3 linked regions of the Macaca mulatta genome follow. The protein of the gene in region 3 interacts with the protein of the main gene of each other region in a biochemical or structural test. Links are inferred from orthologs where the notes say so. Each region holds a gene or a part of one and is shown on either strand. Other genes may lie near its edges.

Region 1 (3,864 bases), on a different chromosome or scaffold from region 3:
TAAAACAACCCTTTAAAGAAATAAATACAATAGGGAAGTAACCAAGTCAACAAGTGGAACAAACTCAGATTGTACGTACATGAGTAGTTAGATGGATCAGGAAAGAGGTGCTTCACAAATGGCACCACAAAACATTAAAAATTCACGGGTTTTTTTAAAGCACCTCTAATTTGCCTCTCCAAAAACATAAAAAGATGACAGAAAATAAGGAAACATCATCTGCTGTGTCACAGTACAAATTACAGATCATTTAGGTTTCTAATTTTAGCATCAGATTCTTTAAATACTATTATTGATCTGCTAGGAATCAATGTTCTTGAATTCAGCAAGTCTTATACAAGCCACAAGTAATGTTTTCAACAAAACCATTACACATTCCCAAATTGTGATGTTCTCATTTTTACTTAAATGCTGGACTGTAAAAGAATAAATTACGATCTCCAGTTTAAATGGTCTTTATAATCTTTTTCTAGGAAGACTGAATAATTACTTTCCTAGAAATCTAAATTAAGAGCTTCCTGAAAACTTAATGAGTTACGGGAAATAGAAACATAACATTTATTACTAGCCTGAACAATACCGAATTATCTCCCCTCCTCATTCTCCCTAAAGGCAAAGCCTGATTAAGAACCACCATGGTTTGGTTCTCCAGCAACTTTTATTGGTCAAAGGATGCAGAAGGATATATGGTGTCTGTAGGTTAATTAACAGGATCGTTTATAAAACAACTTTACATTTATCTTATTTTTAAAATTCTTGCTTTTGAATAAGCTAATGTGTTAGAATAGACATGCTCCTATCCCATGCAAAAAGCTGTTCAAAAATGAGCAGCTTGCAAATCTATCATAAATGAGACATTGAATAAAACATTCTTACAGTGAGGTCTAAGAAGTAGTTCAGTCTAAGAATTTGCTTCAGATACTTTTTGAAATAAAATATTCAAGGCATAAAAAAAGCAAAACTCAAAATATCTAAAACAGATACATACTGGTATTTTTATCCTAGTTACTTCCCAGAGTTTTTGTGTGTCTCTGTGCTCTGCTGATTAAAATAAACAACAAAAGCAGTAGGCATCTTCTAACTAAAAGTTAATTTACTAGTCTTCAACTAAAAAGTCACAGTGGAAGAACATATATAAGGTGAAGAAAGCTTTTTAACCTTTCAGACTTAAATAATACTGTATTTCAACTTTAAAGAAAGGTTCCACCATATATTTTTTGCACTGACATTTTAAAATATAAGAACAAGTCTTTGTAATACAATATATACTTCAATATACCCAATATACCTTATATGAATTAAAAACATGTCAACTTGATAACTGTAGTAAGGCATTTAAGTATTCAGCAGAAGCCATAAAGAAATTTCTTAATGAGTGGTGTCCTTTTCATATTAACTGGATTTAGCAGGTTTCCTTAAAATGAACAGGAAACAAAAGATATGAAAAACAGGCAGTGATGCCATTCTACTGAATTCCAGAAAAAGCACAGTACAAACAATGTGTTTTCTAGCAGGGAGACCAGACAGACCAGCAAACTGGAAATGGATGAGCGGCCCTAGCTTGCATGGTCTATTGTATTTTATCCACCGCTGAGAGAAGTGTTAGTAGCCCGGTAGGTTTGCGTAAAGGTACCAGAATCCTTAGTGCTAGTCTCATAGCCTAAAACAGAGCAGGTACTCCAGATATACTTCCTGAACTGACCTGGATGAAGAGGCTTTAAAATCAACAGAGCTGAACAGTATAAAGTTCACGGAAAAACTCCATTTTTCATTTTATTTTTTTTGGTATGTTAGTGAATGTCTACTGATCTAGTATTTCAAGTGTGGATCACGTAAACACCATGTAGAATGTAGTAAACAGAATTAAATAAGAAACACACTGGCTATCAATGCCAGAGTCTTTGAATATCAGGTCATAAATATAACCAATTGTGCAATATAACCAACATGATGAGAAGAGCACACCTCACAACTGACAATTTTAGTTCATATGATTAAAAAAAATAAAATCTGAAACTGCATTTAGTGCCACATTCTATCATATCATACATCAGATTCCATGCTGCGGAGCCGCACTGGGCTACAGGACATACAGTACATAGCATGTTTATAGCATGTTTATAGCATGTTTTAAACCGAAAGTGAAAGGGAAAATATGAAACAGAAAATTTTTACATACACATCTAACGGTGTTGTCCATTTAATTCGATTTATATGATTTGCTGTGCCACTTTGACCAGCTTGCAGAACACCCCAAATTCTCTTTTCCCCATAAAGATCTACTTCCATATAGAGTAGAAAAGGATGGTGGTAAAAAAACTTCAGGTTCTTCAGGTTCCAACGATTGTGTCCCAAATGCCACTGTATGAACACCTAAAAAATAATAAGAACAATGTCAAAATCTGCACAATTATAAATGCAAAAGTAAATACAGCTTAAAGCCTAAAAGAGAATTTGTGAATATCTCGTCTTTCAATACTTGTCTGTGTCTACTACATGATGTCGACTATAAATAAAACGTCCACTGTGGTAAATGGGAAAAAAGAAGAAGCTTTAAAAAGTTAAAGGGAGACATTTGTCAATTTCATAAATGAGTCTCCTGTTTTAGCAAAAGGCACATTCCTTTAGACCTCACTCAATCCAGGAAAGGCTCCTCACTGACATAAGGAATCAGGATATCTCACCCTCTCCCGTCAACCACCACCTGCCCTTCCTTTCTTTCTGAACAAGAACATGAGAATTTCCTATAGGGTGTAAATTCTTTCAGTTAGAACATCCAACTTTAACTTATGGGATAGTCTCCTTCTCTTTTTTTTTTTTTTTTTCCTGAGACTGTCTCACTTTATCACCTAGGCTGGAGTGCAGTGGTGCGATCTTGGCTTACTGCAACCTCTGCCTCCCAGGCTCAAGCAATTCTCCTAAGTTTCATGAGTAGCTGGGACTACAGGTGCATGCCACTATGCCTGGCTAATTTTTTGTATTTTGTAGAGATGGTGTTTCACCATGATGCCTAGGCTGGTCTCAAACTCCTGAACTAAAGCGACTGGCCCACCTCAGCCTCCCACAGTGCTGGAATTAGAGCCACTGGACCTGGCTGGGATCCTCTATTTTTCATACTGCAGCTTCCCAAAGCTTTCACAGGCCTCTGCACTTCAGCTTGTCAGGAACTCAGGGCAGTGAGGTGTCCGAACCCACCTGTGCGCTCTCCCATGGCTCCTAACAACCACACTCCTGAGCATTCGGGGCCTGTGCGCGCCGGGGTGACCTCAGCTGTCTCAAGGCAGCATCTCCGTACTGAATACCCGAGCCCATTCTTTCTGGGTCCAGCTCACCTAAGGACCAAGCAAGTCTTCTTTAAAAAAAAGTTTTATGTTTCTGAGATCCCAAAAATAGATTAAAAAAAAAAAAAAAAAAAAGCAAAGTACGGAACCCTGTGTATATATCCCACCACTCTGAATAAAGAGGAAAAAACAATTTACATGTTTGCTTGCACCGGCACAAAACGTCTCTAGCACGATACATAAGGAACGGCTGATTCGGAGGAGTTCTAGATGGCCGGGGACGGGAGGGGGTGGTAACAGCGGGACTTTCCACTGCATACTCTTTTATACTTCTTGAATTTCAAATTATGTGAATATATTATTTATATAAAATAATTTAAAATTAAATTACAAAGATACAATTTTTCACTTATCGGATGGGCCAAAAGTCCAAGTATGATGATACTACACGCTGTGGACATGGCTTTAGTGAAATAAGCCCATCACTAGGAGAAAATGTGACCACCTCTACACCAAGATCCCAAATGCTTATGTTCTCTGACCCAGCAATTCCACTTCTGCGTATCTGTCTGACACACAGACT
Region 2 (2,950 bases), on a different chromosome or scaffold from region 3:
AAAAAAAAAAATTACTCCATCACTTTATTATCCATAAAAAAAAGACTTGAACATTGTACTGAAACATCTATTTAAGTGTAAATAGTACTAAGCACCAATTACTAATCTGAGGGCCTCCTCACAGGTCCAAGGGCAATGAGTAACCTCGAGAAGCAGGTGACTGCACAAGCAGTAAGCTATGGATTAAAAATTAAAAGGATTTCACATTCTTTCCAAAGTGTACTGCCCAGTGTCTGGCACACACATGTTACAATATGACAGTCTGCTCTATTTGTGAGCACCCGAGTTTATTACAGGGGATTACACATGCGTATGATAGAATCTGGCTCCCAGTACAGTCAAGGGAGAACAGCATCAGCCAGCAAATGTGCTGATCTTACACTGAAAATGGTTGACTGAAAACATTTCAAGGGTGATGCAAACACAAGAATAAAACTGTGGCTCTATTAGTGATGTGGTTTTATATGCTACATATGTAGACCTCTCTTTATACAACAAATACAGACAGTGCTGCAATAAAAACTGATGACACATCAACTTGTTCACCTGAAGAAAATAAACCCTATTATAGTTCAGAAAATAATGCAACCAACTTTAATCTAGATACAGGTACTTTATTTACAAATATTTAGATTAATAGCATTTTGTTACATCAAATGAAGAGTACAGCAGTCTGAATAAATCCTTCGGTCACAAAAACAATAAAACCCACTGTAACTAACTTTGGGAGTCAGGGTATTGCACCTCAACAAGCCGCAGTCTTTCGTTTGTGATTGCCACCTTATATCCCAATGGGTGGTTTGTTTGTTTTGTTTTTGTAAATATACACACACACCAGCAGGTCATGGTCCCTGGGTGAATCCCTTGTGATGCAACAGTGTAAGCAAAATGGATCACTGTAGTCTTTAACAGAACATACCAATCTACTCCAGAAATCCTATTTTTTAAAAAGTTAAAGACAAAAATAAAAATGAATCCACAAATTAACCAAAGCCTATTTTCTGCACATTCCAGTTTTGGCTTTTATTTAACATTGACTATACAATACTCTGGTACTACCACATGTTTACAACCCAAAAAGATGTACTTTTATGTTAGTGTCTGTAAAGAGGGATTTAAAATGTGTATTTTAAACACAGCAGTTGAGCTGAGTGCATTTTCTATAGTGCGCTGAGGTGTTACCTATTCTACTTCAAATAAACTCTCAATTCCCAGCCACTGAATCAAACACAGTAAGAAAAATCAACAGAAATGAAGAACTTAAACATGTTTGTTGTACAAAGGAATAAGATTGTTTCTCTTGCTATACAGTATTAATTCAGTGGCCAAACCACCTAGTGCAAAGTAATAACTTACTTTGTATCAGCACAAGCACTGAAACACCTTTAGAAACACTTTCCCTTTTATGAAACAATTTATGCCAACATGACATAAAACAGCCCCTCATACTATGAACACAGGGATATCTTATTTCACTGTAGTGTTAAAAATGCACAATTTAAAATCCCTTAACAGCAGACCTGTGGTTCTGACTGTCCAGTTCAGAATCTGACCATTCCAAGAAGATAAAGGTATAAAAGCTTAAAATGTGCAATAATAAACCCAGCCTTTTTTCTTTTCCTATACAGTAAGGCAAGAATGCAGCCTGTAATGCAAAAACGTTTACAAAAAGAGAAAAGCAGGTTAGCACATTGTCGATTGCACAAGAACAGTTAAGAAAATCAGCAGGTAAGCAACAGTGCAAAGATGGAACAGAATCTGCTAGTGTTAATCCTCTGATGCTAGGAGCTTTTTCCAGCATAATGTCCCCAAACACTGCCAGCACCAAGGGGTGGAGCCAGTACTACTTGTGAACTGCAGTGTGTCTATTTCTTTGTGTGAAATGGAAGGGAGTAACATGGTCACATATAGGTCATACTGTACAAACTGGTATTTTATACTGTTCCAATGCCAGTAATCAATTTATTTTCTTCATTAAAATAATATACACAGAATGTATTGTTAGTTCGATTCCTTCAAATTTTATACATATTTACTTTCTGTTAAAGAGAAAAGGATAAAATGGTATAAAAAAAGATAAAGCTATTAATTAAGCACGAGAGATAAGATAAATGGATATTTTCCCTGTGCGAGGCTAAGAGAGAAGCAAACCTCGTCAAGAAAAATGCCACCCACACAACAGGAAATTTATCCAAAACAAAACAAAAGCAGTTATAGAACCCCTTCTCTACCATCAGAAGTCATTTCACAGCAATAAACTTATTGGTTACAACAGACATACTTGAACAGTTAAGGATGGGTAGAAAGGCTTAAGATATCATCAAATTAAACCGTACAGTGAGACAAAGCCTTGCCAAAGAGGGAGGGTAAAAAATCATGAAGTCCAGCATCAGTGCTCAGTTTAAATCATATATTGGTGACATACTTATCACGAGGACAAGGGGGAAAAAAAGTCTAGATTTACCATGCAGGAGAGATTTATTACTCTACTTGCCTTTGATAACCTGATTACATCTAGTTGTTTAGCAGTTTAGTATTGTGTTAAACTGTTTTTACAACAGATTTTTGTTTTTTCTTTTTTTTTAATTAAACCCAGTAAGATGTACAGAAGACAATGAGGCAGTAAAAAGTACTGCTTTCAACAGACAGAGGTGAAAGGTCAAATGAGGGGCCACGGCAAAGAGGTCACTAGCAGCCACAGCCTTCTCTCTGGGGTTGGGGTTCACTGGTTAGCCGGCCTCCCTGCGGGGCTGAAGGTTTGTGTTGTACACCAGACTCAGCAGCATTCAGATCCAAGCTTCCATCCTGAATGTTCTGATATATTTTCTTGGCAGCCTCAAGGAAGGCATCTTCTACATTCTCTCCCCTAAGAGGCAATTGATAACTTTATTGGAGAACCACAGTTTTCTACAAAAGACAAGACATTATATACTGACCTTTTGTTAATCTT
Region 3 (4,384 bases):
TTTCAAATATGCATTTGTTCAGCAAACACTTACTATTCTGTACCAGGTACTGACACATTTATCTTTTTGTTTCCTTGATTCTGCATTAAAGGAAAGAAATTCTGGCTGGGCGCGGTGGCTTATGCCTGTAATCCCAGCACTTTGGGAGGCCGAGACGGATGGATCACGAGGTCAGGAGATCGAGACCATCCTGGCTAACACGGTGAAACCCCGTCTCTACTAAAATACAAAAAAAATTAGCTGGGCGCAGTGGTGGGCGCCTGTAGTCCCAGCTACTCGGGAGGCTGAGGCAGGAGAATGGCGTGAACCTGGGAGGTGGAGCTTACAGTGAGCCGAGATCGCGCCACTGCACTCCAGCCTGGGCGACAGAGCGAGACTCCGTCTCAAAAAAAAAAAAAAAGGAAAGAAATTCTATCAGGGAAGAACTAACATTTATTATTTGCTTACTCCTGCCACGAAATATCTAAGAGGCCTCCAGGGGATGCCATGCCTTGACTTTCAGTATTGACTGTCAATGAGTATGCAATTCAGCATCCACTGATGTGTGGAAATCTCCGGAAAAGGTGTCAAGCTAGAGGGAAGTAGATTTCCGGGCTGCACAGGCTCGCATCACCCTCTAATACTACTTTCCACTGCCAGGATCTCAAAACCAGTCAGCCTTTCAACTTTACTCATTAATCATTCTTTTTTTTTTTTTTTTTTTGAGACCGAGTCTGGCTCTGTGGCCCAGGCTGGAGTGCAGTGGCGCGATCTCAGCTCACTGCAAGCTCCAGCTCCCGGGTTCACGCCATTCTCCTGCCTCAGCCTCCTGAGTAGCTGGGGCTACAGGCGCCTGCCACCACGCCCGGCTAATTTTTTGTATTTTTAGTAGAGATGGGGTTTCACCTTGTTCGCCAGGATGGTCTCGATCTCCCGACCTCATGATCCGCCCGTCTCGGCCTCCCAAAGTGCTGGGATTACAGGCTTGAGCCACCGCGCCCGGCCTATTAATCATTCTTGACCATTGCAAATCTCACAATTCACTACCTGGGGTCAGTGCGTCTACAGCAAAGGTACCAGTGGATGGGGAGGAATCAGGAGGCCTTAAGGGTGTGCTATGATGCTCCTTGGAAGGCACCACCACCTTTCCTCAGCTCTGTCCCAGCATTTTCTATGAAGTTGGCGATGTTCTATGCTGTGCTCTCTCATACAGTAGCCACTGGCTACACACAGGCTACTGAGCACTTAAAACGTGGCCGCTGTAATCGAGGAACTCACTTTTGTTTTTGTTTTTTTTTGAGACGGAGTCTCGCTCTGTCACGCAGGCTGGAGTGCAGTGGCGCGATCTCGGCTCACTGCAACCTCCGCCTCCCGGGTTCAAGCGATTCTCCTGCCTCAGCCTCCTGAGTAACTGCGACTACAGGTGCATGCCACCTCGCCCAGCCAATTTTTTGTATTTTTAGTAGAGACGGGGTTTCACCGTGTTGGCCAAGATGGTCTCGATCTCTTCACCTCGTGATCCGCCCGCCTCGGCCTCCCAAAGTGCTAGGATTACAGGCGTGAACCACCGCTCCCGGCCGAGGAACTCATTTTTAATTCAATTTAAAAGTACTCAATTTCAATTTGATTCAGTTAGAAATTGAGGAATTCGGCTGCGGGCGGTGGCTCAAGCCTGTAGTCCCAGCATTTTGGGAGGCCGAGGCAGGTGTATCACGAAGTCAGGAGTTCAAGACCAGCCTTGCCAAGGTGGTGAAACCCCGTTTCTACCAAAAATACGGGGCCGGGAGGTGGCTCACGCCGAGCATGGTGGTGGGCGCCTGTAGTCCCAGCTACTCGGGAGGCTGAGGCGGGAGCACAGCTTGAACCCAGGAGGCAGGGGTTGCAGTGAGCCGAGATCACACCACTGCACTCCAGCCTGGGCGACAGAGCAAGACTCGGTCTCAAAAAATAAATAAAAACAAAAAAGAAAAACACACACAAACATACGCGTGCTGCTGTATTGGATAGCACAGCTCTGGATGTCTGGCGTTGGAGGGCTAAGTTAAAATCTTACTATCACTGATATGCTGGCACTTTATTCATTACAAGGGCTGAAAAGTCTTTCAGAGATCATCCGGTGACTTTAAAATCCCCATCTCACAGGCAGGGGTGAGCGGAGGCGCCGCTGGTCCGCTGCGCGCAGGGCCCACGCCCTCCCGACACCCGCCAGCGCTCCACTCCCGCACTGAGCGGCTGAAAAGCAGAACCTTGCTGGCTCCGTGCCGTGGGTGGAGTTACTACAGAGTTTCGAAGCCCGGACGCGCACACGTCCTTCACCTAGTTAGTGGGAAAGCGCAGAGGCGCGGGAGCGGGAGCGCGCTCAGGCACGCGGGGCCGCGGGGGGCGGTCTCGGCTGGGCCGCCGGAGTAGAGACCCACGCGCAGCCAGGCGCCGTCCGCCGGCCAACAGCTCGCGTAACCTCCCCGACCGGCCGGCGCCCTCCCAGCCCGGCCCCCACCGCGCCCGCGCCAGCGGCCAGCGGGGACACGCGGGTCCGCCGCGGGACAGACCCGGCCCGAGCCTACCTGCGCGCGCCGTGCCGTCCCCGCTGTCCCCGCCGCCCAGCCCCGCGGCCGCGCGCAGCGCGCTCCCGCAGCTCGCCGACAGGTTCCCGGTGGCCCTGCGTGCCAGGGTCAGGATGGGCGCCGACCAGCCCTCCGCCGCCCGCGGCCTCGTTGCGCTCCGCAGGTCGCCCGGGCTGGGCAGCTGGCTTCGGTCCACGATCTCAAACTCTTCTCCCGGCTCCAGCTCTGACCCAGGCCCCGGCCCCAGCCCCGGCTCCAGCTCCCGCCCAGCAGTGCAGCCGCCTTCCCTGTCGGCCATCTTGACCGTGTCACGTGACCCAGCGGGGTGGGCGCGGCCGGGCGCCGCCTTTCCCTTCGGTAGGCGAGATTTTTCTTCCTTTTCACCGCCCGCCTCGCCTTCCTGCAGCTTCGAAAGGTTCGGGAAGGTCCAATAACATAAAAACTGCGTATTCCCTGCCGCCGGCAGGACGTGTTCGCGGGGAAGTTCCTCTTGAACTTTCTCCCAGGACCGTTGTGCCCCCTGCGGCGCTTCGCGGGGTCCCGTGGCCGTCGTTTTCTTTGTGACACCATTTCCTCTTTTAAATTTTCATTTCATGTTCTGTGTTTTCCACTTCGTCATTTTTCTGCAGCACTCATCAGAACAAGCCCCGAAAGGGCAACTAAGGAAACGCACAGGCGAGGCAGGAAAGCGGGATTTTTTTTTTTTTAAATAAATGTGACGGCTTGGCAAGAAAGAGTGCACGATAGTGGACCGGAAATCAGAGCTGGCTTCTCCTATTAGTTAAGTGGGATAACAAAAAGCTGACCTCATTATTAACTAAGTTTGCAGTAAGGACCACATGGCAGATGTCAACGATTGTGACTACTATCTCTAGTATCCAACTATGTGGCCCGGCTAAGTCACTATACACTCAGTCTGTTTCCTCACTTGGAAAAGAAGGGGATTTTACTAAATACAAAGGAAAATTTTGACCAGCTTGGCCAACAGGAGGAAACCCCATCTCTACTAAAATACCAAAAAAAAAAAAAAAGGCCGGACGTTGTGGCGGGGCAGCTGCACTCCTAGCTCCCTGGGGGGCTGAGAATGGGAGGATCGCTTGAGCCCAGGAGGTCGAGCCCATAGTGAGCGGAGATCCTGGCCGCTACACTCCAGGCTGGGCGACAAAGTGAGACCCTGTCTCAAAAAAAACACTAAAATTTCACTAGCACTGAACACTTTGCAAAGTGAGGCAACATGAGCCACACCAAACCAGCAGAACTGTTTTGATTGCCAGAATGTTTAAAAATCTTAAAAGTTGTTGCCGATATGTAGAAATCAAAAGATTTCACATAAGAATATGGAGTTTAGCTTTCTCTGGAATCACTGGAAGGTTTGGTAAGTCATGGTATATTCCCTGATGGCAACAAATTTGGGAATGAACTGTGCTGCCCCTTTAGAAGCCCACCTGCTCCCTGGACCTGTCTTGGTCCAGCCCAGTTCACTAGGTTGCATGGTATGTCTGTTCCCTGAAAGACCAGTTCTCAGTGAAGAGATACCACTTCATCTAGGAGTGTTTTGGGAATTTGTGGAATGGCACAATCTCAGCTCACTGCAACTTCTGCCTCCCAGTTCAAGCGATTCTCCAGCCTCAGCCCGTAAGCTGGGACTACAGTCATCTGCCGCCACACTCGGAATTTTTGTATTTTTAGTAGAGACAGGGTTTTGCCATGTTGACCAGGCTGGTCTCAAACTCCTAGCCTCAAGTGATCCGCCCACCTCAGCCTCCCAAAGTGCTAGGATTGCAGGTGTCAGCCACCATGCCTGGCCAGTGAAATCATTTTCTGAATGATGCGATATGACT

What was found.
Region 1: the proteins of RUFY1 (region 3) and RAB4A form a complex in vitro, tested with the Homo sapiens proteins (2 studies listed by BioGRID). The link is inferred for Macaca mulatta from reciprocal best matches to the Homo sapiens genes RUFY1 and RAB4A.
Region 2: the proteins of RUFY1 (region 3) and RAB14 form a complex in vitro, tested with the Homo sapiens proteins (2 studies listed by BioGRID). The link is inferred for Macaca mulatta from reciprocal best matches to the Homo sapiens genes RUFY1 and RAB14.

Annotation. Positions count from the first base shown.
Region 1 is NC_133406.1:19,742,699-19,746,562, forward strand, and holds the end of RAB4A (ras-related protein Rab-4A), read right to left. Parts: intron 3,333-3,864; coding exon 3,217-3,332; 3' UTR 3,196-3,216; intron 2,374-3,195; 3' UTR 642-2,373; downstream 1-641. UniProt on the Homo sapiens protein: The small GTPases Rab are key regulators of intracellular membrane trafficking, from the formation of transport vesicles to their fusion with membranes.
Region 2 is NC_133420.1:37,020,859-37,023,808, reverse strand, and holds the end of RAB14 (ras-related protein Rab-14), read right to left. Parts: intron 2,867-2,950; coding exon 2,689-2,866; 3' UTR 572-2,688; downstream 1-571.
Region 3 is NC_133411.1:188,502,375-188,506,758, reverse strand, and holds the start of RUFY1 (RUN and FYVE domain-containing protein 1), read right to left. Parts: upstream 2,856-4,384; 5' UTR 2,842-2,855; coding exon 2,544-2,841; intron 1-2,543. UniProt on the Homo sapiens protein: Activating adapter involved in cargo sorting from early/recycling endosomes. Regulates retrieval of proteins from endosomes to the trans-Golgi network through interaction with the dynein-dynactin complex.